Rhinolophus ferrumequinum: one gene and its partners. The protein of the gene in region 3 interacts with the protein of the main gene of each other region in a biochemical or structural test. Links are inferred from orthologs where the notes say so. Each region holds a gene or a part of one and is shown on either strand. Other genes may lie near its edges.

Region 1 (7,550 bases), on a different chromosome or scaffold from region 3:
TCTCTCTCTCTCTTCCTCCCAGGGTGAAATGTGCTCCACCTCGAGGCATCTGGGGACAAATGAGCGTCTTTCTGTGGCACAGAACTCTGTCTCCCTGCAGTTCCCACACTGAGCCTATACAAACTGTTGTGGGAGGCGAAGGGGCCAGAAACTCCATGGAGTGGACTCCACCTGTAGCCACCATGCTGGTACCCAGCAGAGCTTAAATAAAGGTCAAGTTTGTTGCCCTGCCCATAGGTCTCTATGGCCTGGGCAGGTTCTGTCCCTCTTTTCTGAGAGGAGCCCAGTGAGCCAAACTAGTGAGAAAATGGGCCCAAGACTAAGGAGAAGCCTTTAATACAACATCCAATGTTTTACCATATGAGGATATTCTCTCTCCCTAACCTTCAACACTCCCCCACTGGCCAGCTTCTAGGGACCAATAGAAGATGAAGCATCTTGTAGATGAGGCAGCCACACAGACAGGTTATAATGCAATGTGCAAATATGACAATGAAGAACGATCCCAGGTACCAGAGAGGCAGGAAGCACTTTTTATGAAAGGGAGGATGGAGCCATGTTTGAAGTTTGCAGGCCCATCTCACACTGCTTTTGGGGCTAGTGCTCATTCACCAAAGTGGTGGGCAAAAGTGCCTGCTCCACGTATATTACTCCTCTCTCTCTTTGTTGTTGCTGTTCTTTTTTGTTGCTTTGCTTGTTTTTGTGTTTGCACATTTGCACAAAAATTAAATTTGTACAAAATTAAATGCTGCGTGACTTGACCCCCCTGTCCTACTCCAGGTGTTAATTTATATACCTGTCCTCCCCTCTCTAGACCCTTTCATTGCTTTTATCTAACGTGCATTCAACCTGTTAGGTCTCCCCTGGTCCTGCTGCCTTCATCCCACACATCTGTCCTCCCCTTGGACTCTGCTCAACAGTGCTTCAGCCAAGTGCTGGCCAACCTTCACCTGCTAGGTGCTCAGAGCTCTGCACCATCTTACCACTGAATCACACACAACTGAATGATATTACCTCTCAGCATGTCTGTTGTAGCTCCCGTAGCGTGGGGAGAGGACCATGCCTCCAACTCCTTTCATGTCCACTCAACGCATAGCGGTACTGTGCACACAGCGTCAAGTCAGACCTTTGCTGCGTTAATCCACTCCCAACACCAACCAAATGCCTCTCAAACAACCCATCCATTTGGGTGTTATCTAGAGCATTACTGATGTAGGTGCTTCGGGAGTCCCTCTAATATGTGGGCAAGGAGTGAAGTTTGACCATGGAGGGTAACCAACTCTTCCCTTGTGGCATCAGGTGCCCAAGACTGTTGCTCCTCCACGACAGGGACCGTGCCTCATTTACACCTGGGTCCTCAGCGCCTAGCACTGGGTCCAGCCCACAGCTGGTACTCAAGGAACATTTGCTGAAGGGAGAGATTATCTCCAGGACCCACACTGCTTGGTGGTTTTCCTTTCTACCGGAAACCTTAACACTCGGCCATCTGGAAGGCAGATGGGAACCCCATGGCTATGCCAGCCCAGAGACAAGGAAAACTGAACACATTTTTCCACAAGTAAGTTGGCAACCTCCTGCCAGGTTGAACAACTTTGTGACATAGATTAACCAAAAAAAAAAAAAAATCAAACTCATTGTAACGCTTTTCTAAGCAACCCTTCCTTCAACTTTCCTATTTCCATCAACACTACCATTCTCCACTCGCGCAGGCCTGCAGCCTTCCTGAAACTCGGACCAGTCTGTGCCCTTCATGGCCTATTAAAATGAGGTACCCAAGTGCTGCTTGCTGCTCCTTGATCACTCAGAATCACCCCTTTCAATCCTTTCCCTCCCACTCTTGGCCCCCATCCATACACAAAGACCACAACTGATGCCCTATCTTATAATATCCAGCTTCCCTGACTCCACTCTCCTTTACAGACCCCACAGGCTACCATCAGGCTATTTATTAAGTGCTGTTTTCAACTGGTCCATCCTTTGCTCACATAAGAACTTCACACTTTAAGCCATTAAGTCTGTGTTCTTCTGTTCTACGTGACCCAAGTGACTAACACGTTCCTGGAACCCTGTAATCCTCCTGTCTCAGCTAGGACAGTCACTGCCTCTCCCCTTCCAGGTATATGTAACATTTTCTGCCATCTCAAAATCTTGGCAAAGGTCTCACCTCTGCTTATCCAACCCCACCCAAGTTCCAAAGCCTGGGGCCACCCCAATCTCTCACATAAGATTTCCCCAAGGTCCAGCCCCACCAGCCTGGCCCTCTTTGCCCCCACAGAACTGACTCGAGCTGTCATATACTTCCTTCCTGTTGACTCACAAACACTCTCTCCTGTACTGAAAGTCAGAACAGCTGAAGAGGAACACACTTGTCACGGAGCACTTGTCTTCACATCCTCCATTTAGCCATTCAGGATCTTCCCTGGTACACAATTGTAGGTGACCACACACATGTGTATAGGAGAAATTAGGCGAGACAATTGTTCCGGGCAAATCTGGTGGCAAGGGTGACAGATACACAGTGGAACATTAACACTAAGCCACAGTGCAATCAGTGGGGTGTCGGGAACAGAACTGAAGAATAGAGATGTGAGCAGAGTCCACCGGGATACAAATGAAGCACACAGACAAAGGATGCTGCTTCAGGTCATAAAACTGGGGCTACCTTCCTTCCCAAAGTTTATGCCCATCGCAGCAATGAGCACTGCCAGGGGCCCAAAGTAAAATCACATCTCATCAGACCCGGGCACCACTGATAACGCGGGTTCAGGCCACCCCGCCCTTCCGGGCCCGGGCCTTACCGATCGAGATTTCCTGCGCGAAGGCCAGCGAGATAAGCAGCATGGGAAGCCCCACGGCGATGCAAGTGACCATCTTGTCTAAGGCCAGCTCCAGTCGCAGCCCCTTGAACTTGGGCTCCGAGGGCTCCTTCAGCAAGTAGTCCGAGAACACGTACTCGGTGGCCAGGTGTGCGATGGCCATGGCTGCGGCGCGCCGGGCTCGGCCTGGATAGCCCCGGAGGAGAGGCCGGGGTACCGCCCGAGTCTGGAGGGCTGCGCGGCGCCGCCACCCGCTTACCCGCCGGGCCCGTGTCTTTCGCTTTCCCTTTGCCGGCTGCCCAGTTGCAGCCACATCCAAGCAGCCTTTGTGTCTCGCGCGCCCGGCGGCCAGCGATGCCGCAGCTGCCTCAAATGGGCGCACGAGCTCTCGCGCTCGCTCTTATTTATGCCCCTGGCCTGTCGCAGACCCGCCCCCGCGCGCTCCGCCAACGCAGGTCCCTCCGGCTGCGCGCGCCACCGGGACTCCGCGCCGCGCTGGCGCTCCCGAGGTGCAAGAACCACCGAGGGAACAAAGTGCTTCCTTCCCGCCTGGCCCCTGCAGTGCGCCGCGGTGGCTGAAGCTGCCTCCCGGCCAGCGCGCGCGCTGTTAGCTCGCCCCGCCGCGCTCTTCCGGAACCACGAGGGACACCGGGGACCGAGGGGCGTGGAGTTTCCGGCAACTGCGGTGACGCGGGCCGGGATGGCGCGGCAGCATCCCGCGACCCTGGCATCGACCTCAGCAAAGGGATCATCCCAAAGAGACGTACCCCTGAAAATGCTCGCGCTTTTCTCCCATCCTCATTCTCCCACTTCCTGGCACCCGGGATTTTGAAATCATTTCTGATCGCGACCCCCTTACCCAGTGAACAGGATGGCCCCCTTTTATGCCCCATCCCCAACATTTCTACATGGTATAGTCAGGTTAAAAGGAGCTTCGAACGCTTCGAACAGCGACGGGTGCCATAAAAGCCAATCGAGCGGTGTGGACCGAGCTTGTGTGGAAGAGCCCTTCCAGGAGCTCTTCAAGACGAGGAGCGGCGGGGTCAGCAGTGGTGAGCCCTTAGAATGACCAGGTCTCAGGCCTCAATCACCCCTGCTCCGTCTGCTTTTCTTCTGCTTTCCCAGTGGGAGCCTTGGTCTAGGAGCCAATAGAGGGGTGCCCCTGGGGAAGAGCTGCCTCTGAACTATTTACAGGGAGTGGGTGCTGAGAAAATAAGCAGGAGATGCTCTAATCAGCAACATTTGGAGCAGACAGGACCTTCAAACGTGAGAACTCCTTGGGGCCAGTATGGCTGTATTCTCTGCTCTTTGTACATGGGCAGGTCCATGCACACGAGCCTCTTCTATATGCCCTCTACTCTCACATGTATTAAGTTGATGCAAAAGTAATTGCGGTTTAAAGGGTTAAAAATAATTGCAAACACCACAATTACTTTTACACCAACCTAATACATCTCCACCCTGGCCTGTCCTCTGAGCACTCATCCCACCGCCTACACAACTCTCCACTTGGATGGCTCACAGGACTTCAAACTCATAATGGCCCGAACTGTAATCCTCATCTTCCTCTAACTCTGAACTCCTGCCCTCTGTATCTTGCTAAATGCATTACCATCCCCCGATCTCAAGCCCGAAACCTGGGGCACCGTCTATAACACTTCCATGTCTGCCAGCTGCCACAACCAACTTCCAAATTCTCTTGCTTCTCTCTCCTAAATATAGAAAATCTGAGAGTTTTTCTATACCTGCACATCCAACACCCCAATTCAGGCCACCAGCCTCTCTCCTAACCACATACAGGAATGTATTCCCTCGGCATGCAAGCCAGTCTCTCCCACACTTTTTAAAAGCTCCAATCTAAAAAAATAAAATAAAATAAAAATTAACTGTTACATTGTTTTGTGCACGTGAAACTAATAAAAAAATAAAATCTCCAATCTGATCATGTCATCTCCCTTTCTTAAAGTATACATTGCATTTAGGATAAAATCCATATTTCTTAGCATGGCCACTGCCTGCCTCACTAATTTCACTACTTCCCATCCAGTTCTTCATGTTTGTCAGGCTCCTTGCCTCCTCTAGGGCTTCCTCTGCCCAAAACACTCCCGCAGTAGCCTCTTTGCCTGGCCAACTCTTATTGAACTTCCTGACCCATATGGATGTCATTTCCCCAGTAAAGTCTTCTTTGAGTACACTAAATTAGATGAGGTCACTGTGTTACGAATATAACTTTTATCTGTTATTGTTGCCCTCTATGTTTCTTCTTTTTTTCACATTTTATTAGTATTTTATTTGTGTTTTTGGAGAAGAGTTGCGGTTTCACAAGAAACACTGATTTTTCTTAAATAATAAAAAAAGGTAAAAAAAAAAAACCCAAAAACCCATTGTCTTAAAAGAATAAAACAAGTCTCTTCAGCAGGCATTGAACCTGTGCAGATTGGAGGAACGAGTGAAGCAGAAGTTACATATAGGAAATTCAGATTGATCCAGTTTTAGAAATAACACAAATGTCTTGTCTAGTTCTGTAAGGCTCCAAATGGGCCATCTCAGTTTAAAACTGGTAGCTCACAGACTCCAGGGTCCCAGCTCTTTTGCACACTAGGCGGCTCACTCATCAGGCGGCTGCATTTGTGTACAGAACTCATCAAACTGCTGCTGCTCCAGTTTAGTCAGGACTCTGTTGAGGGCATAGATCTGTGCTCTTTGTCTTTGCTTTAGCTCCTGCTGGGCTGATTGGTTGGCCTTCTCAACTCTCCTGACTGGTTCTTTAACTTTGGGTTTTTCTTTACAGTGCAGGTGGATCCATGACTTGGCTTCTGAATACTTAGTTCTGACCGCTACTCTCTTCGGATGCAAAATGACAGTGCTTGGGAGTCAGTGTCTTCCCTCCTGGCCTCAGGGCTCCCACCCCCCAGGTCAAAGACAGAGCCGCCTGAGGGGAGCCCTCGCCTTTCCCTACCTCCGGGCCACTATTTTTCCTTCTTAATGATAATCACAACTATAATTCAACATGTGTTTGTTTAACTGTTGTTTTATTTAATGTTTTTCACCCCCTTTATGTGGTAAGCTTCATGGGGGCAGGTCCATGCCCACGTATACCACTCTTGTCTCTAACACTTAGCACAAATGCCTGGCACATAGTAGTCTTTTAATAAATATTTATTAAGTGTCTGAAGGAACCTGAAAATGTTTCACCTTGAAAATTGTTTAAAAACAAGTAGACTAACTTACACTCGCTATCTGTACACTCAAGGTAAATATTAGAGGCCAGCGATGGGCTATTCTGGGCTTGATGGGTGGGAAGCAACAACGAAGTGGACACATTCCATTTCCTCAAAGACCTCAGGGCTTGGTAAGAGAAACAAGGCATGTACACAGTTAACTATAATACTGGTTGGAAAGGGTGAGTGATTTTGTAGAAGGTGAGGTGTGCCTAGGTGGGGTAGTGTATCAAAGAGTGGGGCCTAGAAGCATCAGTCTGTTTGTGGCAGGCAGAACTGGGACAGGAGCTTTCTAGAAGTGAGTGAAAGCATGGATACCATACTCTTTCTCTCCTTGTCAAAAGCTACACATCCAACAGGCTCAAATGTCTCCTCTAGAAGCTTTCCAGGACCCTCAGTTGTGACGAATCACTGCCTCCCTAGCACTTTTGTCTTCTGGTCTAGCATTTAGCTCCTTTTGCCTTGGGTGATGGTCGATTGCATCTCTGCTTTCTCATTACATATCAAATTCCTCTGAAGAGCTGGACAGAATCTAAAGTTGTGTAAATTGCCCTCAGCCCTGGCAGAGGGTTTTACATGTAGCAGGAAGTCAATCCACATTTGTTGAATTTGCAGTAGAGGCAAGAAAGAGAACATGTCAGGGAATGGGAAGTAGAGACACTGAAAAAGGGAAGATGAAGGTGAGGGTGTCAAAGATGAAAAGGGTGGGGCCAGAGAAGGTAGTCTGGACCTTTTTTCAGCAAGCCTTAGGGAGTGTTTGGAGGGGAGCAATATAAATAGGGTCGTGCTTTAAAAAACTTAATCTGCCAGTCACATGTAGCATGGATTGGAACGCAGACTGGAGGTAGAGAGGCCAGGTAAGAGGCTGTTGAAATTTTGCACGTGAGAAGTAATGAGAGTCCAAACTGGTGCCCTGTCTTTGAGGACCGAGATGAATGGCACAGAAGAGAGTGATAGTTAAGGAAGCCATTTTTCCTACTGCAAAAAATCAGCTCAAACAATCTGACATGTGCCAAGGTCCTTTGGGAGGAAAAGAGAAAGCAGGTCCAACTCCTGGATTTGTCACTTACTTGCTCTGTGGCCAAGGATGTGTCACTGGAAATACCTAAGCCTCAATTTCCTCATTTGCCAAATAGGGATGATGTTGCCTACCTCGGGTTATTCTGAGAATTATATGTGATAATACATGTAACAGTGCCTGCCACATCATGAGCGCTTAGCACTTGATAGCTGTCATTACCAACCTCAGGAGTTTAAGGTGTCACACAAGAGTGTATGTAACATTGCTTTTTTGTTTTTTTAATAGACTTTAATTTTTAGAACAGTTTTAGATTTACAGAAAAATTGAGCAGATGGTGTAGAGCGTTCCCGTGTGGTCCCACTCCTGCACCCAGTTTCCCGTATTAACATCTTACAATGGTATGGTATCTTTGTTACAATTAATGAACCAATATCGATACATTAATATTAATTGAAGGCTACTGTATTCCAATTTCCTTAAGTTTTACCTAAC
Region 2 (7,808 bases), on a different chromosome or scaffold from region 3:
AAGCCCCTCTCAGAGAAGGCCACCTTGCGTGGCTGCCATGTGGGAGATCAGAGGGCAGCAGGCTGCTGAGGGACCCTCAGCTTGGACATTGTCACAGCTTCACTTCACCCCAGGTGTCAGCTCCCTCTCCTCTCCCAGGTCCCGGATGCTCTTCCTTTACAGGTGCTGTGGGACTGTGGCTCGTCTACTGTGTAAGGACATGAAAGCAGGCGGCTGGGTGACACCTAGCATGGAGGACGAGCCCGTTATCCAGGGTGCGTGCCAACTACTGCTCCCGCAGGAGCACAGCTATGTAAGCGCTGTGCCTCAGTGTGCGCCAGAGTATTGCAGAATCATCCTTCTGCAGGAGGACCTTGTATAGATTGACCATGAGCCCTTGGTTGGTGCTCAGAGGCCCTATTTCTCCCCAGCTTGGCTGTTCTCCATGGCCTTTCTGGGGAGATGGATCACAGGCTGGAGGGTGGAGGGGTTCCCCACTGCTTGGGTCTCCACGTCCCCATCCTTCCCCAAGCACCCCTCTCCCCAGATCCAAGCTAGCCAAGCTCAATCTCACCTGAAAGGAAGCCTTCTTTTCTGTCGGGTTCCCCGCGCAGATTTGAATGGCAGGGTCATAATAATTTCGTAAGTAGCTTTTACACTCCCAATCCTCTTGCACAGTCAGCTCCACTTCCTGTAGAGTGTTTGCTAAAGTGCCCATCAGGGTGACCTGTCCCCAGCCGGCCACACTGCACTTCTGTCCTGGCCTCACCGAGTCCTTGCCCCTGGGTAGGCGGAGGGGCTTCACAGCTTTAGTCAGCTTGATATTTCTCTCCAGCTGATGGGGCAGAGGCAAGACAGCCCAGGTCAGCCAGCGACCCCAGGGCCTGGACATGCGATGGGTCTGCACTGTCTTCCTTCCCCCCTGAGGCGCGGGGACTGGTCAGGTGGCCAGGATGGGCAAGAAGGAAGGAAGAGGTCACAGTGAGAGGAGAAACAATCTGGACCCAGGAGAACCATCGCAGGAGGAGGTTTCCTTACCTGCAGTAACATGATGTCATTGGAGATGTTCTTGGGATTATAGTCTGGGTGGGGGATGGCTTTTGTCACCTGGAAGACCTGCTGGGTCTTCTCCTGTTGCTTGATGTTGTGGGCCCCCAGTGTGACAATGATTGAGCTGCACAGAGAGCAGAGTGGGAGTGTGGGGGGCGTGGAGTCTCAGGACATACCGCCCATGAGCCGCGAAGGGTAGGTGACAGCTGAGGTGGGACAGGGCTGCAGTTAGGGGAAATTGAGGCAACAGGAGGGCCAGGAGCTGAGTGTCCTCTCTGCTTCTCAAGGACACTGAGGATAGGGCTTCTGGGAGCTGTCTCTTGGCCTCAGGCAGTATCATGACAATGCCTGAGTTTCATGTTTACCCTAATGCAGACTTTCGTCTTCCACCATTGCTGGATTTGGCCAGTGTGGTCCCTCTCTTCTCAACTGTGCCAATGTCTCACCTCTGACCCTCTGAGGCCAGCTTGCCTGTCCTATTTCTCAGTTTTTCATCACCCAGTCATGCTCTCAGATGGCTCCTGTGAAGAGCTCTTGTGGGCTTGAGTTAGCAGGAGTTCAGGGAGCTCACCTGGGCTACAACCCCCGGGGAAGGACATGGGACCCTTTAGGGGTCTGGGAGGGGGTAGGCTAGCTGCTGCCACTTACCTTCCGCTGCAGTGAGCTGCCGTCAGAACAAAGTTCTCTCGCACAAGGACACCTCCGCATATTTTCTTCTCCCCCTTATCTACAAACTGAATGTAGGCCATGTAGGGGCGAGAGTGGGGCTTGGCCTCATGTCCTCCGATGATCTCCTCTGAAGGAAAAGTTTGTTGTGCTTCTATGCACTCACTGAGTCCACCATGAAGACATTGACTTAACTCTAAACTGCTGGGGACTTGGGAGCCTGGGCTGGCCTCGAGCTTGGAGGGTCTCAAGTTTCTCCTCTCAAAAGGGAAGAGCAGCGGGCTTTGTCTATGAGTTTTTCTCCACACTTAGTTGGAGGTGAGCATAACTATCTTTGGGACAGCAAAGTCCTAGAGACTCCTGAAAATTCATTTCTGGACATTGCTTGGTTTCAATTGAGTTTCTGATGTTCTGTGGTCCCGTGCAGTCCAGGACTATGCTGCTATCTAGTGGCCAGACTTAAGTTTAGGGATCTGGTTTTATGCCCAATAAGTGTTTATTGGCTGCGTGAAGCCATCAATGGACCTCTTGAGGAGGTTTGGTAGGGGTAGTGCTGTGGGATGCTGGAAAGCAGAGAAGTTTGGGGTTGCCAAACTCAGTGGCCCATCCTTGAAAGAGGGGAGCCACTAGTGGCCTGGGAAGAAAAGCAGAATTGGAGAAAGGGAATGAGGCACCTTGGGACTGAGCTAAGGCAATAGGAGTCTTCTGGGGACAGTGACCCCAGCAACTTTGGGGTGTGCTGAGCTCTGGGCTTCCTTCCTAAGCAGACACTGAGGAGAGCACTTGTCTCATCCCAGACATGGAAGCTGGTACTGCTCTCCAGTTTTCCATCCTCAGCCATGCACTTCTAGGAAAGTTCCCCTTTCCAGATGGCGAAGGTAGGGCCTGGGGAGGAAATAGAACCCACTGGATTTTCTTGAGAACAGCCTTATGCCCTGCCTTTTATGCTGGTAGCTTATCCAGCATCATGCTTGGGAGTCCGAAATTTGACAGGAGCTTGGGTTCAGCACATTCCTGGTGGATAGATGGGTCAGGGATGTGCAGAAGGGGCAAAAGTTGTGCGCCCTCTGTGGGAATGAGAGTGGAGATTGTCACTCACCTGCCTCTGCCCTGGGGGGCAGTAGAAAGGCCAGCAGAAGCAGGAGCAGGAATGGCCACATCTTCCCAGGAAAGCTGCCCAGATTGGATCGCTGGTGTTCCTCCGCGCTGTCTTTTAGCCCCCGGGAGAGGAAGGAGGTGCAGGTGGGCTCAGGGACCTCAAGTTCCTCTCTGGTTTTGTAGTGCTTCATTTTAGAAGGGTTTCTATGAAAGCTTCCCCGCCCTCACACCTCCTGCCTGATGACGTTTTCTGGGTGGTTGTGTGAGAATTAGGCATAGATCACATCAGTAGCCACAGCTGATGACTCAGAGCCGACAAATTGTTCCAGCCCAGAGCAGGAACCCAAGGGTCTGAGGTGGGGACTGTAGGATGTGGTACTGACCAGTAGACGTGCTAGAACCCTGAAACCTGAGTCCCCAGTGATAGAACCACGAATGCCTTATTTCCATGCTACCAAGTCCATCAAGATAATTTCTTTTGCAGATGTGTGCTTAGGCCCTTCTCTGTGCTATGATGAAACGTATTGGAGCTGTGTCTCCTTCCCTTACAGAGCTGGTGGAGGAGACAGAAACATCAGTGACCAGAGTACTGAATGGGAAGGGCCATGGTTGAGGAATGCCCACGACAGTAAGAGAGCATGGACATCGTCTACTAAACCGATAGAGCAACTCATTCATCATCACAGCTTCCTTCCTAGGGATTTTTGTCCTGTTAATCTGTTAATCTCAGGTTTTCTTCTGTTAATTTAGGAATTAATCTCCTGTTAATTTGCAAAAGCTCAGAGCGATACCGTCCATCTCTCCTGTCAATATTTTTAACAAAAGTCCTGCACTTGATGTGTATTGGCCTAAAGTAATGAATCACTGTGGCCCTACAAATTGAATCCACTGATTGACGTAAGCCGACGTCATTCCTATTTTGGGCACGCTGGGGTTGGTCTCACTCAAGCCACTCGAATTAGGACTCAGAAAGGGCTGGTTTCCCATGGGAAGTTCAGATTGCTAAACTGCCAATACTGCGTGAAGTGGGAAAGCATGCTGGGCAACCAAAGGCCAGTAATTGTCCTGTTAGTATTCTCTGTCCTCTGTCCAGAGAGCCACACTTCTGAAATAGCAGGCTTGGCACATAATAGGTTCACACTTGATAAACAAATTATGCTGATGACCTCACTATACTGTAATGGACCTTTGTTTCTAAACAGCCCAAGCCCAATTCTCTTCAAAAAACAACTAAGTATCTCTGAGTGGTTAGATTCTGGTAATTTAAATTTCCATCTTTGCATTTTCTGTGCTTTACAATTTTTCCATGAGGAATAATATGTATCAAAATGCATAATTTCAGTGTAAATGTTCTTATCATACTCTACTTTTTTGAACTTAGCTTGCCTAGTAGACATTTTAAAAATAAAAATACTTCTCTGATTATAGTGTTAATATATGTTCATTAAGAAAATTTGGAGAGTAGAAAGGAAAAGTATCACTCATTTGCCTATCTCCCACACATAGACTGTTACCATAGGAAGTGCATTTTAAATACATGGGATCATCTTATGTACACAGTGCAATTTTCTTTCATCCTCACTTAACCCTATGATGTAAGCATTTCCCCCATGCTCTTAAAAATCTATTATTCAATACCACTACAGTCTCTCTTTACTAGTTATTAAAAAAATTGAACATGGAATTAATTTCTAGAATTATTGGAAAATTAAAAAAATAATTCAATCAAGAGAAAACAATGAAAATGATCTGATTTCTGATTATTCATTGATAATCATCTTTAATATCATGATCTAATATATTTTACCCTCATGTATATCTTTATTTTTAAAATTAAAAAGGGATTATGCTAAACGGAAGATTATGTTATGACCTTTATTAAAAATTGAGGTGAAATTCACATAACATAAAATTAGCTATTTGAAAGTGTACAATTAAGTGGCATTTAGTGCATGCGACAACCACCTCTCTTTAGTTTCAAAACTTTTCCATGAGTCCATGAAAACATTTTGTCCATACCCATTAAGCTGTGGACCCATTAAGTTGTGGGTTAACTTGGGCACTGAATCGATTCCCGTTCTCCTCTCCCACCCTCCCCCTCCCTGACCCCTGGCAACCACTATTTTTCTTTCTGTCTCTATGGATTTGCATATTCTGGATAGTTCATATAAAATGAATCATACAATATGTGACCTGTTGTGTCTGGCTTCTTTCACTTAGCATAATGATTTTGAGGTTCATCCAAGTTGTAGCATGTATCAGTATTTTTTTCTTTTTTTATGGCCAAATTGTATTCCATTGTATGTGTATGGCACAATTTCTCCATTAACCGTTAATAAACACTTAGGTTGTTTGCACCTTTTGGCTATTGAGACTAATGCTGCTATAAATATTTGTGAACAGACTTCTGTGTGGATGATATGTTTTCATTTCCCTTGGATATACGTGTATACCTAGGGGGGATTATACCTAGGGGGGACCTGCTGGGTCGTGTGGTAATCCTCTGTTTAAGTTTTTGAGGAATCACTAAACTGTTTATTGCAGTGGTTGCACTACTTTATATTCCCACCAGGAATGTACAAGTGTTTCTATTTCTCCACATCCTTGTCAACACTTGTTATTTGTCATGTTTTGATTATAGCCATTCTAGTAGGTATGAAGTGGTATCTCATTGTGATTTTGATTTACATTTTCTTAATGACTCCTGAGATTTAGCACATTTTTCTGTGTTTGCTGCTCATTTGTATATCTTCTTTGGAGACATGTTGGCCTTTCTCACAATCCTCATTCCTATCCCCCCTCACGGTTTGGATTGGTTCTTTGAGAGTTGGGCTGGGGCCCTCAACACAGCCACCTTGATATGCTATGCTGATTAGGCTGAAAATGGAGAGGGTGGGGGAGTTCAGGGAAATTTTTCTTTAAACTGTAATGGCTAGTCAAATGGCCAAAGCTGTGTAGGAAAGTTCTCCCATATCCAGATGTAGAAATACCAATTTAAGGTAGAAGAAAGTTTACTGAGGTGCAGACATGTGGAAAAGAATGTGAAACAGGTAACTTCCCAAGAAAAAATCTGGAGAAAGCATCACTGGGGAGAATACATTTCTTCCTAGATGTGACTAAACAGTCAGACTAAAAGATGGTGAAATCCATTTGAGACTTATAAATTTAAGAATCTGTGTCTAAGTAAAAATTAATAATAAACATTATTAATAAACATGTGTATTAATAATAATAAACATTGGAAAAGAAGATATGATTAGTTTGTTGAACAAATGAGAAAATAACATCTAACATCTCAATGCTGGCTCTGTATTGATCACTGACCGTAGAGCCTCAGTCCACCCTCCAAGCTTGCTACTGATTTTCTTCCAATTCATAAATGAGAAAGCCAAGACACTGAGAAGGAAAGGGCCTTGTTCTATATAATTCAGCTCATCAGAATGGAGATTAGAATGCAGAGATGTGATTTCATAGTCTGTGATCTTATCCACCGATTTATAAACACCATCATTTCTTATATTGTTCAAGGAATCTGGGGAAAAATTAAGTGGGTATTGAAGAATAAAAGTTTCTGTCTATATCTCTAATGTGGGACTCTGGTTCTCTTAGAAGAGAAAGGTACCTCAGTGGCTACAACATTGTGATAGAAAAGGTCTTTGGATCACATTCCCTTTGCTCTTATCCTTTATTCCCCTGCTGTTCTTCCTCAAAGAGCAGGAGAATGTCATGCCCGGCCCATGAGGGACAATACCCTTGGGCCTTGGCCTCTCATTGAATCACATCTAGTACTTATTGGAAGTGGGCAGGACCATTCCTTGTAGGCAATGACAATGGCACAATCACATGACATTGCCGCACTCATACATGGCATTTGAGGCTGCCGCTATAAGCCAAATTCTCTGAGCCTGATCATTCTCTTTAATTTATACCTAAAATCAGAACCTATAGCACAAGGGGCCAAAACTTGGCTCTAGCTCATTTCATTTGACCATGAGACTCAGTCGTGCTGTTGAGAAGATATTCCTGCTTCAGTTAGGGGTTATCTCTGCATTCTTATTAGGAGGCTGGGATGATAGTCAAATTTCTGGCGTGCTTACATGACATCAAAACCAGTTTTGACAGAGAGACCTGTCAGTGAAGGAGAACCTGGATACGTGTAGAAGTGGTGAGGGTCGTACTTCCACCTGGCCTCTGTAGTAGAAGGATGGGGGAGAGAGGGCAGGGATGGGGAGACAAAATGTCTATAGGACAGATGCACATCTGTGAGATTTGCAGTTTTGGCATCAGCTAGAACACCCCTTGATTTCTCCCTGTTGCCTACAGCAATCGTTGCCCAGCCACCAACAAAAAACAAGGTCTGGATGTTGGATTGGGGGTAACTCAGAAAAGCTCTGGAGTGAGTAAATGTCTGGGGTGATGAGTGCAAAGATGACTGCAGAGGAATGGGAAGAGAGGAGGGCTTGGGTGAGGACAGTGCACCCATCCCCACTGAACTGGGAGAAGTGGAACAATGCAGGCCCAGAAAAGTCAGTTGGTGTTGACTGATCTTCTGGGTGGGGGAGAGAATTGGAAGGGAGTGATGTTCTGGGTTGTGATGTTGCATTTGATGTGACCTTAGATCACACTCAAGAACCGCCTCCCCAACTCCCTCACCTAAGGATCTTTATCTCCCCAGGAACTCTGCCCACCAAGGCCATTTCTTTTCCTCAAAGCATTTTGTTTCCACAAGACCTAAAGCTCATACCTTACCCTTCTGCAGCAAATGGTTCTTTCTATTCCCATCTTGCTCAGGGGCTAGTGGTGTGCACTTTCTCACCATGTGTGTACGGGATGTGGCAATTGGTTTTGTTTGGGGTAGGTAAGAGGAATGCTGCTGAATCATTTACCAGAACCTCTAGTAGATGATTGTAGAACAGGTGGGTCTTTGTATTTCACAGCTCGGGTCAGATGTAACAACGTGTTACGTCTGGAAATCTAATTCACACCTAAGAATTTTTGTGTCACATCCCCTCTCT
Region 3 (7,129 bases):
TATAAAAATTACCGATAACCTACAAGACCTCTTTCCTCCCACTAAGAACCACTCCTTTGTAGAGGCAGATTCAGGTTTACAACCACCCATTAAAGAAATCCTGCTTGCCAGAGGTTTGAAACTGAGAAGTTTATTTGTTATTTGCGCCAGTCATTTACTGAACACCAACTGTGCGCAGAGTACGGTAGTACATCCTGAGCCCATCAAGTAAGGGAAGAGACAAAGACACTTTCCCTATGTGGAACTTTCACCAAGGCTCACTGGTATTCAAAAGTGGCTCAACTAAGGCAGAGGCTGGACAGGGTTACATTTGTATCAGATAAGTATCTTACTCTACCCTAACTCAGAAGCTCTAGTAGCAATTTGAAGGCAGTAACAAAATAGGCAGAGAAGAACATTACATAGAGATTTACAAAGCATTGTAACGGACATTATGTCGTTTTATACTCACAAGCCCAACAGATATGTAAATTACTTACGCCTAATTTATGGATGAGCTAGTTAGTATAGACAGCCCTTGGGACTTGGCCTCAGGTTGTCTGCCTACAGAGGACCTATTTCCCTCCATTACATTTGTATTTGTTAAATGTGAACAAAATAACTAACAGTCTAAGAATTCCCACCTCTTTTTCTAGAACCAAACACCAGTGCTTCCCTTCTTTGAGGCAGAGCTTAAAGAACTACCTAATACGAGGCACCAGAATAGATTTAATGACATCCATGAAAATAAAGACTGCTTTCTAGCACTAGAAGGAGGATGAAGCAGAAGATTGTGTTAAATTAGGTTTGAAAGCAAAACAGCAAAGAAACATTGTAAATGCTTATATCAGATAAGATGTTAGTCTTTTTTTAAAAAAGGGCAGGAGGCAAGACCATTTTTCAGGATAGCAAAAGCAAATCTGATTTAATTAGATACAATGTTTCATGTCTTTTTTACTGTGAACAGGTCTTATTGCCAAACTCCAGTAAGTTGTTCATTCATTCATTAAAACAAATCATAAATTTGAAAAATCTTTTTTTGCAAGAGTAAACCAATACCGAAGCTCAATCATCAGGCTATAATAGGAATGACTTAAGCTTTCCATTTGGTTCTTAGAGGTTATGTGCCTATAACATATTCAAACCGGCAGAGCACATTTTGATACAGTCTGGTCTAACCGTCTTGCTAAGCCCCTCCTATTACTATCCTGCACATCCACATTTTTCAGCAATTCCATAATTCACCTCTACCGTTCCTTTCTAAGCCACATCTTTTAATTATAATTTGCTAAGTAATCCCAAAACAGGTTTATTTTTTCTGGATAGGGAATAATTAAAAGATAATTGTGTAGTGTGGGCATTCACTTGTGCCAGGCTCTGGGTATGGGGAAAGACAATAAGGAACAAGATAAACAGAGTCCCTCATGGAATTTGCTTAGGGAAGCAAGTGGGGAAGATAGTAAACAAGCAACTGCAAAGGGTATGACTTTCCCTTCTTAGGAAATGACAGATGGAAAAGGAACATAATAGGAAAACTTAACCTTGAAGTGTTTAATGACAACAGAAACATAAGGAGACGTTCCTCAAGCAAATGTGATGTGATGGGGGAAAGAGGGAATGTAAGAGTGTTTCAGGCAGAGACCAGGTATTAAGATCAGCATGGCCATGCAGAAAGTGAAAGGGTGCTATCATAAAAGATAAGGCAGGGGAGGGAACCAAGGAGCCAATCTGTGTTTGGCTTTGTTAACCATGTTAAGGGTCTGGGTTTATCATACGGGCAAAGGAACAGTTTTCCAGATTTTTATTTTGCAAAGCCTGTGCTATAAAGAATGGATTGAAGAGGGGCAGAGGGTCTGGAAGTATGGAGACCAATGAGGAGGCTGGTGCAGCCAGGTGAGCGCCTAGGGTGATTTAAATCGGTTATGGAGAGAAGTGAACAGATGCAGTGGACATTTAGGAGGTCAAGGAGGCTTGGTGGCTAACCAAGGAAGGAGCTGGGAGAGGTAGGTGAGAAGGTTCGTTTCCGGTTTCTTGGTTTGGTGCCATTTATTGAGAACAAGGAAAGAGGCAGCTGCCTTGAGGGCCGACACACTGAAAACAAGAGTGAGAAAGGCACTCTTATTCACCATGGCCTGGGGGGATTTCAAAGCAGCTCCCAGGTGACTGGCCTTGGATATATAGTCACAGGGAGGAAGGAGCTGGAAGGATTCACCGAGGGCTTCAGGTCTGAAAAGGAATTGGAGTTTAATGCTGAAAATTACCTCTCTAGAAAACTAAGTCACACAGTCAACCCGAGAAAATCCAAGCTCGAGACAGGCAAGGCAGCAGAGACCAAACCCTTGCCCAAGAGTGGGAGGATCAGCCCCGAGAAACCGCCTGCCGGTAAGCACCAAACTCGCCTCCTGCCCTGGAGACAGCGTTTCTCGTCGCCGATCCTCAGCTCCTCCCTTCCCGATTCAAACCTCAGCCCGCCCTCCCTTTCCAAGCATCCGTGGCCTCCTGCTCCCGGGTCGGACCTCTTACTACCCGGCCTCGACACTCGGGCCCAGCGCCCGCGCCCCTCCCCACCAGGCTCCGCGACCCGGGTCCAGCCTCCTGCTACCCGGCCTCGGCCTCCTGTCCCCCAGGCTTGGCTCTCCAGCCAGGTCTCCACTTCTCGGCCGCCACATCCCCAGCTCAGTCGCCCGCCTGCCGCCTCGACGCTCCCGGCTTGGCCTCTCGGTCTTGGACCCGCCTCCCGTCCTCCGAGCTCCGCAGCTCCAGCAGGGTCTCCGCTCCCCCGCCGGCCGCTGTCGGGCCTCCACACCCCCCGCCCGACCGCCCACTACCCCCGACCGGGTCTCCAGCTCGCTGGCTTCAGTGCTCGTGCTCGCACCCGTCGTCGTGGCAGAACAAAGGATCCTCCGCCCGGACCGTGCCCACCTCCTCCGTCATCCCCGAGCAGCTGCAGGTCTGGACAGGTCTCTGGGAAGGGTGCTGTGCTTGGAAGGATGGAGGGAGCTGGCCCAGAGCTAACGGCCCCGCGGCGAGAAGGGACGAGGGCAGCACTCACCGAGCAGCCCCCACACAACAGCCAACAGCTCTCCCCTCTCTGCGAAGCTTGGTTTCCGCCGCCCGCCGAGGGTAGCGCTGGGCTCGGGAGCAGGCCCCGCCCCCACTAGCCCCGCCCCGGCCCCGCCCCCTCGGTCCTGGGCGCTGCACTCTCCGCAGACACGTCCCCGCGGCCCCGGGCGCCCCGCCCCCTGGCCACGCCCCCGCCGACCCCGCCCCCTCGGTCCCGGGCGCTGCGCTCCCCGCAGACACGTCCCCGCTGCCCCGGTGCGCCCCGCCCCCGCCCCTTCAGGACAACGACCCGCTGCTGTCTCCCGGGCTCCCCGCCTTCCCACCCCTCCCTGCGCGCCCGGGATCGTCGCCCCAGCCGCTTTCTCTTAGGCGCGCGTGCTCCCCGCCCTCCCGCCCCCGGACGCCCCGCCCCCGCGCGCAATTTGAAGACTGGATTCCGGTCTCGATGGGCACGTCATGGGTTCCGCCAGCTGCTGAAGGCCGAGGGGTTTCCGCCTACTGCGCGGGTTTCTGGAGGTAAACGGACGGGGACCTGAAGGCCGCCCCGGGCCCGGGGGGCGGAGCAGAGGGAGCCAAGGTCGGGCCTGATGCCCAGTGTGACCTCGGGGATGAAGGGAAGCGGGCCGCGATCCGCACTGGAAATCTGCTTCCCCTCGGGCGCCCCGAGGCCTTTCCTTAGGTCACCCCCAGTTCCCCGTCCCTAAATCAAAAACCTTAACTGCCCCACTCGTTCCTGCCTATTTTGGGTCACGAACTCTTTTCAGACCCTGATGAGACCTAAGAATTGTTTTCGCTGAATATACCAACGCTATTGACAACGAAGTTCTGCGTCAAATTTCAAGAGGTTCGTAACATTCTGACAAGTCAGGGACCCCATGATAAGAACAAGACTGCCCCCAACACTTTTGCCTACTGGGGCATAAATCAGGGGCTATAATTTATACACAAATATACCTCGCTATATACCAGGAGTGCCAAAAAATGTATACACATGACTTGTGTTCATCTTTTGTTATCAGTATATAGTAGTATAATTTTAATACAGTTTTTTTCCCTTTCTTAGAATGTGTATACATTTTTTTTTGGCACCCTCTGTATATGGCTACCATTTGTTGAGTGTTTATTTTGTGCTCTTACATTTTCACACTACGTTTTCTTATTTTATTCTTCCAACAACCCCTGGAGGTGGGAATTCCAATCCCCACCCGAGCTTAAAAAGGTTAAGTCGTTTGCTTTTGTTAAAAGGAGAGTTACAGGGGTGGTTATAGCCGAGCTCTCAACTGCAGAGTTGCCGGTTCAATTCCCGCATGGGCAGCAACTAGGATTGAAACCGGCGACTGGACTTGGGGGTTGGGCTGTGCCCTCCACAACTAGATTGAGGGACAATGACTTGGAGCTGATGGGCCCTGGAAAGGCACACTGTCCCCTAATATTTCCCAATAAAAAAATTAAAAAAAAGTTACAGGAGTTAAACTTGGACCCCAGGAATAAAATTTAGGCCTTTCTTAATCCCTCCCAAGTTGAGAGAGGACGGATGTTTGGCAGTCCCTTTTTTTTTGCTGCAGTAAAACTGAAGAATGGGACTTACTCCCAAACCCAAACAGTGGTTCAACGTGCGGTTATTCATAAGGAAGGCGCTGGTGTAGTTGAACAAGTCCTGTTACCCCACTGTGATACCCAAACCCCTTCCTGTGCTAAACTGTCTTACCAAAATGATGCTTCAGTTAAAGCAACAGCAGCAGTTTTCTTTTTCTGTGTAAATTACACGAATTTACTTAGTCTAGAGAGACTTTGATTATATCAAACAGTTGGCTGGAGACACAAACAGTTGTCTTCTTAACCTAGTAATTTCTTTTTACAAAGGGTCTTAGGGGTCAGAACTTGATCTTGCCCTTGAAGGGGAAGAAATTGGGAAAGGGAAGTGGGGTATTACAGGTGAGAGAAACAGGAAAGAGGGGCACTTGGAGTGGCCAGGTGCGGGGACTGGTCATTATCATTCATTTGGTGAGAGGGCTGAACAGTAAGACATAAACTGCACAAGTGGTTTAGGGCTAGATTCTGGAGAGAGTTTGGATTTCCTGAGGTAAACTGTAGTGTGGATTGAGTGACGCTCTGAATCATTCACGAGTGCCCCTGGAAAAGTTATGCAAATGGACTTAGGGGTGATTGGTCTGGCAGAGTTAGGCTTTTTGCATAGGACATCCTGTGGGGATAGTAGAAAGGGGCAACCGGAAAAGAACAGTATGTCTTATCCTTACAGGAGATTTTTGGAAAATTTAAATATGAGTTACTTCTGTTCAAGCATAGAGAGGCAAAGTGAACTGAAGTGGGGAAAAAAAGAAAATTCAGTTAATTCGTTTTATTTAATTCTTTAAGGTGTCATTCATCTGGAATGTACATTTATATAATAATATTACTGTAAATGAATTTTAATCACATACTTTATTATGAATACTTTAGCAGTGGGAGAAATAGTATAACTGTATTCCAAGAGGCCATAAAAGGGATTAAGAAAACCTTGCCAAATAACAGAACCTTACTAAATACTAGAACTAGAACACGTATGCAAGAAAACACAAAATACTGATGAATCCATTCAGAGGGCAGAGGGAGAAGCTGGAGTTGGGGAATAAGAATTGACTTGTGATTAGACAAAAACAAGAAAGAAACCAAGAGAACTGGGCTAGAGAGAGCTATGGCAAGGCAGGTTTCAGATCTCCCTAGAAGCCAGTAATCACGAAGCATGTGCCCCCTAGTCCAGCTGCTCCTGGGAGTCAGGCTATCAAGTGTCATAGCTGGGCAAGTCTAGGCATAAACCTAGGGAAACCAGAGCTACTTAGGTTGGCTTTCTGAGTCATCTCTCCACGTCCATCCCCACCTCCCCCTCTCTGAAAGGACTAAAGCCAGCCTTTTTTCTAGCCTGACCCCTTTTACTTGTAAAATCAGTTTCAAACATGGTTAAATAAAAATTCTGGCGCAATGTTTAGAAATAAACAATAGGCTTACTATTTTAAAATACAATACATATTTTTCTTTGGAACTTGGAAACTGTTACCAAAAATCGGTAGTTATGGACCCTATGTGGAAAGGGTTTTTTGATGTATGGTTATAGAGAAGAAAGAACTCTTTCCCCACCAGGAATTGAAAGCATTTCTGGAGGATAAGGGCTGAGAAATACAGATGAATTCCTGTTCTTCATTTCCTTTGCTTTTGTCATTCAGCCCTCCCGCTGGAACACTCCAAGCCCCAGTTGTCCTCTAACCCTCAATCCAGCTGTTAAAAATTTCAAACTGTGTAAAGACCAGGAGAGCATAATAGATACTGAACTTTTTCTCTCTCTTGACATTCATGGTTTTCTCAGTTACTCACTCCCATGGTCATAACAATATTTTTACAAAATCTAAAAAAAATTTCCTGATGTCATCGTCATTAAGTGTGAAGATCCACATGGTTAGTCCTAGTCAGTTATTAGGTACTGGAGCTAAAATTCACATCTGATTGCATTCTGTGTTTATTTTCTTCATTAACTAATCAGTGGGCTTTATTAAAAGTTAATAAATTTCATAGGAAAAACGTCAGTTTCTCCCAATTAGATTATCTAAATGTAGGGAATTTTTATCTTTATGTGAAGCAGATTAAAGTGAACTGAATACTCAGAATCTAGCAATAAAGGGCTGTATCATTTTGTATTGAAAAATTAAAGCAGTTGTATTAAAAGTTGCCCCATCTCTTCAGTTGAATGAAATTACATTCCTTTCGTAAGTGTATCTGTTAGGAAATTTATGTTGACACCCTTAGAATTATATTTGTTTCTTGGTTTGTAATTTATAATTTTCATGTGGATTAGGTGTCACAGAGAAGAATCTTAAGTCTGTTATAGTTGAAATCTATGGATAATATGCCTTTATTTCTAGCCATGTCATGACATTCCTATCCTCTCAATCTTTTAGGGATATTTTTCCATTCAGGGAGTATATATCATTTGCCAGTGGGTTTGTGTTGTCACAGAGTTTTCTGCTAAAATTCTAGAGAATATTTATCAACTTGATAAGTGCAAGTACTGGAAAGACATTGCCAAAGGTAAATA
Region 4 (7,754 bases), on a different chromosome or scaffold from region 3:
GAAAACTGAGTCACTTCAAGGAACTGAGTCTCCCAAATTCTAAAACACACATCCTTTCAGGTCCACGGGGGCTCTCCAGACCTCCCTGCAGCCCTGTCCAGTTTCACTGAGTTTTATTACTTGCTTCTTTGTTTACCATTGTCCCAATTAGCAAAATCCTGGGCCAGAGGGGCGGGTGTTCCCAGGAGGACCCAGAGAACAGCAAACAAACTCCAGGAGGCTTCCCATGAGTGGCCAGCTGCTGGGAAATAAAAAACAACTTTGTTTGAGGTGAAGAGAAAAGAACAGGGCGGCGTCTTCCAGCCCTGGCCAAGGCCTTGTGTACACTGTGGCCAGGGGCGGAGGGTGAGGCCGCCTCCTCCAGGCTCTGGTAACTGCCCTGGGACACCAGAGAGACACGGAGACTAGCCTAAGGTCACAGAGGAGGCAGGGCCGAAGCCCGCGGCCATCCTGGGTCCAACTGCAGGGGAGGATCGTGGGCTGTACGGCTTCTTCCTGTGGCAGACACTGAAAAACTGCCTACTTTGTTCATGGTACCGGGTAGGAGCCAGGAACAACCAAGACCAGGGGACCTCTGGAGTCCAGAGAAGGGCAGGGTTGAGGACATGCTCACAGAGCGAGTGGCAGCAGAGCCAGGCTGCCTCTCAACTCACAGTAACCGTGACTGGCCTGAGTGCCCATGAGTGGCCTAGGATGTAAGTGTCACAGGCCATTGTCCATTCAGTGGCCACAGCCTGAGCTTCTTCCTAAGACATGCCTTTGTCCTGGGTGCTCACACAGGTGTGTGGAGGGCAGAGGGCTTTCCCGGTCCAGCCTCCTGCCCTGGCCTGGGGGGTGTGGTGGGGACGGCTGCCCCAGAGACTGCTGGCTGCCAGGCGTGGCTTGCCTTTGGCTGATTTAGCAACTGCAACCCTTTACCTGGAAAGGACACTTGCTCCCTGTCCAGGCTGGATGGTGCCAGGAGGCCCTGCTTCATCTCCCCAGATAGACCTTAGAGACTAGAGCCAGCCACACTTGTGTCTGAATCTCAGGAATGCCTCCTTCCAGCTGAGTGGCCCTGAGCAAGTGACCGAACCTCCCTGAGTCTGTTTCCCCATCTGTAAAATGGGAATTTGAATGTCTATGTACACTGGTTGCTATGAGGAGACTCAGCCTTGGACCCCCCCTCTCCTTTCCTCCCTCTTTTCTCCCAGAGATGTCTGGGCCCAGAGGAGAGGTGGCATGGTGATGGCAATGCCTCCTTCTGCAGGACAGGTGCTGGACTGTCAGATTCAGAAGTACCTGTACAGATGACCTGGTCCAGTACCATTTTACAGATAAGAACCTTGAGGCTCAGAGACATGTAGGTTCTGGATGTGGTTGCACAGCCAGGATCTGGGAATGCTGGAGCTGGAAATAGCATAGGGACCTATCTCATCTTTTGCAATGGAGACCCCGAGGCTCAGAGAGGGGCAGTGACTTGCCCCAAATCACCCAGGAAGTCAGTGGCAGAGCCAGGCCTAGCAGTGGGGCCTCTTCCTTTCTACCTTGGGATCTTTCTCTCACACCCAAGTCCCCCACTCTCCTGAACCCATATATCCTCTTCCAGGCAGGGAGCAGCATAAGACCATGTTGCCCCCATGAAAGGCTCCACACATCTCTACCAAGTAGAGTTTCCAGGCTGTGGGCTTCCGGAGGGCAGGGCCCAGGGCCCATTCACCAGGTCTCCAATGCTGAGGGCCCAGGCTCCAGAGCTACTCAGATGTGGCAGGCAAAGCTGCAAGGCCTTTGTGACCATTAACCTGAGGGCCAGTGACCCTGGGCTGCTTGTCAGACCCCTGGGCCCAAGACCACACCCTCCGTTAATCACCCAGTGGGGAGGTCAGAGCCACAGTGCTCCAAGAAGGGACTGCTGACGTGGGCCAGCTGCCAGCTGCCAGCTCCACTTCGCTCTTGGGGGCTGGGATGACAGGACATTTCTTTTTCCTACTTGTTTGGATTTTCCAAATTCTCTAATGAGCAGGCATCACTATACATTTTGAAAAGGACTTTTTTCTAGATCAGTGTTTCATTAAAAATCATCAATTGCATTGGATACATATTTGTAAATAGTTTCAACTCCCAGAGCAAGTTTTCATTTTTTTTTTATTTTCAGCAAGAGTATTGAGGTATGATTTACATACCATAACAACTCACCCATTGTAAGCATACAGCGCTCCGATTTTTAGTAGATTTTTCAGTTGTGCAGTCATCCCCATAATCCAGGGTAGAATGTTGTCATCACCCTAAAATGTGTCCTCCTGCTGAGTGCAGTGATCGAGGGGCTCACTGCCGCCTCAGGCTATCACGACAGTATCAGAGGTGGAAATTCTCTGTTCTCATCTCTTCCAAGCAAACCACCTTGACAGTTTGGCATTTGTCCTTCTTGACTTTTGAAGGATGTATCCAAACACAGACACCCTTATAAAAAAGGAGAGGAGTCATACTGCAGTCGTACAATTTGCTTTTTTGCCCTTGGACAGCTCTCCGTGCTTGAGTGCCTACTATGTGCCAGGCACAATCACATCTAGCTCATTGTGTTTTCACAGCTGCAGAGAGGTCCATTGTATGGCATCGCCGTAATTTATTTAACCAGGACATTTGGGTCCTTTCCAGTTTTCCTCAAACAATGCTTCAGTGAACATCCTTGCACATGTATTTTTGTGTTCCTTTGTAAGTAATTCTGAAGAAAGTGGATCTGTTGTTGCCTCGTGTGTTTCGAATTTGGATAATCAAATTGCTACCCAGAGAGGTGAAGCCGGTTTATGCTTCCATCAGAGCATATGACAACTGTGGGTTTTCTTTGTTTATTTGTTTGTTTGTTTTACAACTGTGGGGTTTTTATAATCACCCAAATGCCTAAAGAGAGGGAAGAACTGTCTGAATTTAGGCCTGAACTGGCCCACTGCAGGCTCCCTGGGCCAGGGCCTAGACAGGCAGCCCTGAGAACTTGGCATCTCTCTGTGGCTCCCCACAGACACCCAGATATAAAGTTCAGATTCTTCAGTGTAACGCTCGAGCCCTGTGACTCCTGCCGCCCTCTCCCCGCCTCGGCTCCTCTTTTTCCCTGTGTTTCAGACTGGACCCCTCCTTATCCACTGCTTGCGTTCCTTTGCTTGCCCTTTGTCCCTGCTGTTCCTGCCCTGAAAACGCCTTTTCTTCTTAGTCTCCCTCCTCCTTCTCCTTCAACGCCGTGGTCACAAGTTCCTTTCTCTATGAAGTCTTCTTACTCTCCTTCCGATCTGAATCCTCTGTGTGTGTGTGTTCCCTTACCCCTTTATCTGTCCCACAGACCCACTTCGGTAGAAAGAAGTTGTGGAGGGCCGAGGTCCAATTGCCACTGATTAGATAGAAGCTGGGGCTCCAGGAGGGGCTGGGACAGGGGACCATAGCTGTGGGGAAGGGGACGGGAACTCCCGTTTACCTGGTTGCAGGCCAGGCCATTTTCACACATACACAGAGATTGATTTAGTCCTCAGCAGCTACTGTACCCATTTAGTAGATGAGGAGACAGTCATAGAAAAGGAAAGTAACTTACACACAGTGGTGGGAGTCAGAGCTAGGTCTCCAACTCCCCATTTCTCTTTCCTGACGTCCCTCCAGGCTTTTGGGAGACGGGGAGATCTGGGATGCAAAGAGAACTTGGACATAGATGAGCAGTGTGATGGGAGGGAGGAGAGAGGGATTGGCAGGATTAAGAGAGTCTGAAGAGTCCTTCTCCTAATGCAGTGACTCTGCCTCACGAGTGGGAGGGTGGAGGAACGGGAAGGGAGCCTGTGAGTGGGGACAAGGCTTAAAACCTTGTCTTCCCAGGGGGAGCCAATAGATAGGACCTAGAACTGGAAAAACAAAACAAAACACAAAAACCAAAACAAAAACAACTACAAGATGCAACAGGTTTTGTTATTTAAGACATGAAGGTAAACACTGAAATCATCAGCTAAAGGGGGTAGATAGAAGTGGTTGCCCCTGGGGAGAAGTAACTCTGTACAAATATGTGACTTTAATCTTTGATAAAAAATAAGTTTTAAAAAATGAAAACTGTTGAAAAATAAAAAAGAAAGGCAGTCTTGAATGCTGTAGAAGAACCTGCAACTGCAGGAGTGGAGAGGTCTGCCGGACACCCCCTCCCGCCACACCCCCCCCCCCCCCCCCCCCCCCCCCGCTAAGTTCTGTTTACTCCCGGTCCAGTCTGCCCCTAGCTCCTGGGAGTTGGGCCACCCAGACTGATTGGGTTCAAATCTTGGCTGCACCATGTCCCGGTGTGCAGGTGGCCGGGCTATTCGCGGCAGTTTCCCCCCTCTGTAAAATGGGCCTGCCGATATACCCACTCTGTAAAGGATGTCATGTGTCAACCCTCGTATGAGGCGTGGTGAACCTACAATAAGTCCTGGAGACGTTAGGTGCAGATTGGGTTGGGGTCTTGCGTGGGTCTCACAGGACGCTGAGCTGGGCTCCCTGCCGTTCGTGAATTCTCCCATTTAGCATCCATAGACTTAGCGCCTGCTGTATGCCAGCCCCTGTGCTTGGGCTCTGCCCTGGAGCTGGGGTGAAGGGGCGGCCACGCCCAGTGGGTTTGGTCCGATGGGAACCCCGATGTCTCCAAAATCCAGGCCAGATCCCCGCCCCTCCCGGCCCCGCTGGGGCCCAACCCTGCCCCGCGCCCTCCCTGCAGGGCGTTCCCGGCTTGGATGCGATGGGCGGGTGGCTACTTAAAGTGAGCGACCCGAAGGCGGTGGCTGCTGACTGGGTCTTCTGCTGCCATCGCCGCCATGGCTCCGCACCGCTCTGCGCCCGCCCTGCTTGGCGCGCTGGTCTTGGCGCTGTGCGTGCTGTCGCCGCCGGCCCGTGCGGCCACCGCGTCGCGGGGGGCGGCCCAGACACCCGCATCCCAGGGCCGGGCGTCCGAGGCGCGGGTGAGTGTCCAGGGGGACCGGGGGTTCCCAGAGTAACTCTCTATTGTAAGTTCTTGCAGATACAGCGCTAGGAAAAGGGGAGTAATTCAGGTCTAGAATGGATAAACTGTTTTGTTGCTTTGTAAGTATCTCTTGCTGCTTCCCGGGCTCCCGTTGATGGGGGTGGGAGCCTCGGGGACCTGGCTGTTAACCTCCCTAGAGGCTAACCTCACCTTGGCCGGATTTCTTTTCCCTTGCCGCCTTCTGATGTCTTATCCATCCCTGCTGCCTGATTTCTCCTTTTCCTCATCTGGTTTTTCCTTCCCTCTGCCTGATTTCTCTTCTTCCCTCTTCTTATTGCTTCCATTTCAGATTCCTCTTTCTCATCTGATATTTCCCTCCCTCTCCAATATTTTCTCCCTTTGTTTTGTATGATGTCACCTCTGTGTGCTTATTGTTGTTACTCTTATTTATTCTCCCCTCTCTGATCTCTCCTCTGCCCTGTCTGGTTTTTCCTCTTCTCTCCTGTTTCCTTTTTGCGTTTCTTCACCCCTCTGCCTGAGTTCTCCTTGTCCGGTTTCTCTGACTTCTCCCATCAGGTCTGTCCTCCGGCCAGGTGACCTGTGCCTGCTGATTTCTGCCCTTTGGCCTCAGGCTAACCGTCTCACTCTGCTCCATCTCTAGCCCCGTGCATGTCTGATGGCCTTTCCCCCATTCCTGACCTCCTTATCTCCAACAGGCTCCTGCAGACCCCAGCTGCATCCTCTCTGCCTTTTCTAAGAAATGGGACTTGGGGATGGGGTATTGGGGGGCAGAAGGGAGGAGGCAGACAGCGCAGGAGGCCACTTGGGCTAAGTCATTTAGGCCCTTCTTGGGGATGTGATGGGGACATGGACAGGGCATGGGATATCTTCCCATTTCCAAAGAGCAAAAACAAACAGGCTGTGTGACCGTGGGCCAGTCCCCTCCCCACTTTGGGCCTCAGTTTCCCCATCTGCAGAATGGGGTTGGATGAGGAGCTCTCTGAAGACCCTTCTAGTTCTAAGAGTCACTGAGGATACTGGAAGGGAACAATGCTGAGCTCCTGGGGACCCCCAGCTTTACCACTGCCATCCGAGGGGCTCTTTTCATGGTCCCAGAGCTCGTGCTCTTGGAGCTTGGGGCAATCCCTGCCATGCCATTTTCTGGCTGGGGGTCCTTGGCAGAGTCACTTCACCTCTCTGTGCCTCAGCTGTCCCATCCAATTGGCACTAAGAAGGGAAGGAGAAGGGAGCTGGAGCCCTTTGTCTCCCCATGATTGGAGAACTGATTACTCTCTGGCCAAGGGCAGGGTTTGGAGCCTAAACTCTTCCCTGTTTGCTCACCCCTTGAGACAGGGGTTGTAGAAGGGGTTAGACTTGCCTCGGGGGTGGGGAGAGTCAGAGGCTCAAGTGGGATGCTCTTGGTGCTGGAAACCACCCTCCCTCATGCCCGGGGTCTCTCCCCGCCAGGGCCCCCACCCCTGCTCAGGCTCCGCCCTGTCTCTTCCAGCCCGGCAGCATGGTGGTGGAACACCCCGAGTTCCTCAAGGCCGGAAAGGTGCCTGGTCTGCAGATCTGGCGTGTGGAGAAGTTCGACCTGGTACCTGTACCCCCCAACCTTTACGGAAACTTCTACACAGGCGATGCCTATGTCATCCTGAAGACAGTGCAGCTGCGGAATGGGAACCTGCAGTACGACCTGCACTACTGGCTGGGTGAGGCCCGCCCCCACCCCAGGCCCCACTCCCATAAAGCACAGACCTTTGAGGCATGGTCCCCAGGGGGACGCCCATGGGAGCTAAGTGACTACTGAGCATCAAGTAGGTCCCAGGCCCTTGGCTGGTGATTATGTGTCCCCAAACTCTAGCGCCAGCCTGCCCGAGTTCAGAGCCCAGCCCTGCCCTTTGGAAAGGCACTCAGTCCCTCTGGAAAGGGGACATGATGGTGGCAGTGCCACACTACCTCGAAGGGGTGTTGGGAGGGGTAAACGAGTTAGTGTAGCACTCAGAATTGGGGGTGACTTGGGGACCCTGGACCTGCTCCACAGCTTCCCTGGCCCGTCTCCAGCCATGCCTCAGTTTACCCTTCAGAGTTGGGAGCCTGGAGTCCCTGCCACAGCTCTGTAGTGTGACTGTAAGTCCTGCGCCTGCTGAGCGTCCGTTTCCTAATGTGTGAATTGAGCCCACGCTCCCAGGCCTGACATCACGCTCAGGAGGGCTGAGAGGGAGTGCAGGGCAATGAGGGAGAGAGGTGAGCGGAGGGGAACGTGTTAGAGCTGAGAGGACTCAGAGACCATGGAGTCCGGCCCCCGCCTCCCCCATTATGTAGATGGATTAACTGAGGGGCTTGCCCAGTTTGTACAGCCAGGCCTGCTCCGTGCTGGGGGCTCCAGAGTCCTCCACAGGAGGCTGGGACTACTCTCCGGAAGCCAGGCTTACGCTGCTCGAATGTCGCCTAGGCAATGAGTGTACCCAGGATGAGAGTGGAGCAGCTGCCATCTTCACCGTGCAGCTGGACGACTACCTGAACGGTCGGGCCGTGCAACACCGCGAGGTCCAGGGCTTCGAGTCGGCCACGTTCCTCGGCTACTTCAAGTCTGGCCTCAAATACCAGGTGGGTCCTGGGCGGCAGGGACAAATGCACCAATGGCAGGATACATTCAGGTCCACCCATCTTTCAGTCCTGTGGGGAGATGTCAGAAGACAGGTCAGAGCTCAGCCTTTGGCATTGGCCAGCCCTGGGTTTGAATCCTGGACCCTTCCTAGCTGTGTGACCTTGGACAAATCACAATTCCTCTGTGAGCCTCTGGTTCCTTATCTTA

Evidence for each region.
Region 1: of the proteins of CASP3 (region 3) and PANX1, one has a biochemical effect on the other in vitro, tested with the Homo sapiens proteins (2 studies listed by IntAct). The link is inferred for Rhinolophus ferrumequinum from reciprocal best matches to the Homo sapiens genes CASP3 and PANX1.
Region 2: of the proteins of CASP3 (region 3) and granzyme B-like, one has a biochemical effect on the other in vitro, tested with the Homo sapiens proteins (2 studies listed by BioGRID). The link is inferred for Rhinolophus ferrumequinum from reciprocal best matches to the Homo sapiens genes CASP3 and GZMB.
Region 4: of the proteins of CASP3 (region 3) and GSN, one has a biochemical effect on the other in vitro, tested with the Homo sapiens proteins (2 studies listed by BioGRID). The link is inferred for Rhinolophus ferrumequinum from reciprocal best matches to the Homo sapiens genes CASP3 and GSN.

What each region holds. Positions count from the first base shown.
Region 1 is NC_046294.1:65,127,653-65,135,202, reverse strand, and holds the start of PANX1 (pannexin-1), read right to left. Parts: upstream 3,007-7,550; 5' UTR 2,980-3,006; coding exon 2,799-2,979; intron 1-2,798. UniProt on the Homo sapiens protein: Ion channel involved in a variety of physiological functions such as blood pressure regulation, apoptotic cell clearance and oogenesis.
Region 2 is NC_046289.1:74,677,807-74,685,614, forward strand, and holds the start of granzyme B-like, read right to left. Parts: upstream 3,007-7,808; 5' UTR 2,985-3,006; coding exon 2,795-2,984; intron 1,826-2,794; coding exon 1,678-1,825; intron 1,154-1,677; coding exon 1,018-1,153; intron 815-1,017; coding exon 554-814; intron 1-553. UniProt on the Homo sapiens protein: Abundant protease in the cytosolic granules of cytotoxic T-cells and NK-cells which activates caspase-independent pyroptosis when delivered into the target cell through the immunological synapse. It cleaves after Asp.
Region 3 is NC_046287.1:77,146,350-77,153,478, reverse strand, and holds the start of CASP3 (caspase-3), read right to left. Parts: upstream 3,003-7,129; 5' UTR 2,914-3,002; coding exon 2,902-2,913; exon of another isoform or gene 2,855-2,901; intron 2,180-2,854; exon of another isoform or gene 2,109-2,179; coding exon of another isoform or gene 2,106-2,108; intron 1-2,105. UniProt on the Homo sapiens protein: Thiol protease that acts as a major effector caspase involved in the execution phase of apoptosis. Following cleavage and activation by initiator caspases (CASP8, CASP9 and/or CASP10), mediates execution of apoptosis by catalyzing cleavage of many proteins.
Region 4 is NC_046295.1:71,655,731-71,663,484, forward strand, and holds the start of GSN (gelsolin), read left to right. Parts: upstream 1-4,748; 5' UTR 4,749-4,790; coding exon 4,791-4,934; intron 4,935-4,989; exon of another isoform or gene 4,990-5,031; coding exon of another isoform or gene 5,032-5,055; intron 5,056-6,443; coding exon 6,444-6,648; intron 6,649-7,391; coding exon 7,392-7,546; intron 7,547-7,754. UniProt on the Homo sapiens protein: Calcium-regulated, actin-modulating protein that binds to the plus (or barbed) ends of actin monomers or filaments, preventing monomer exchange (end-blocking or capping).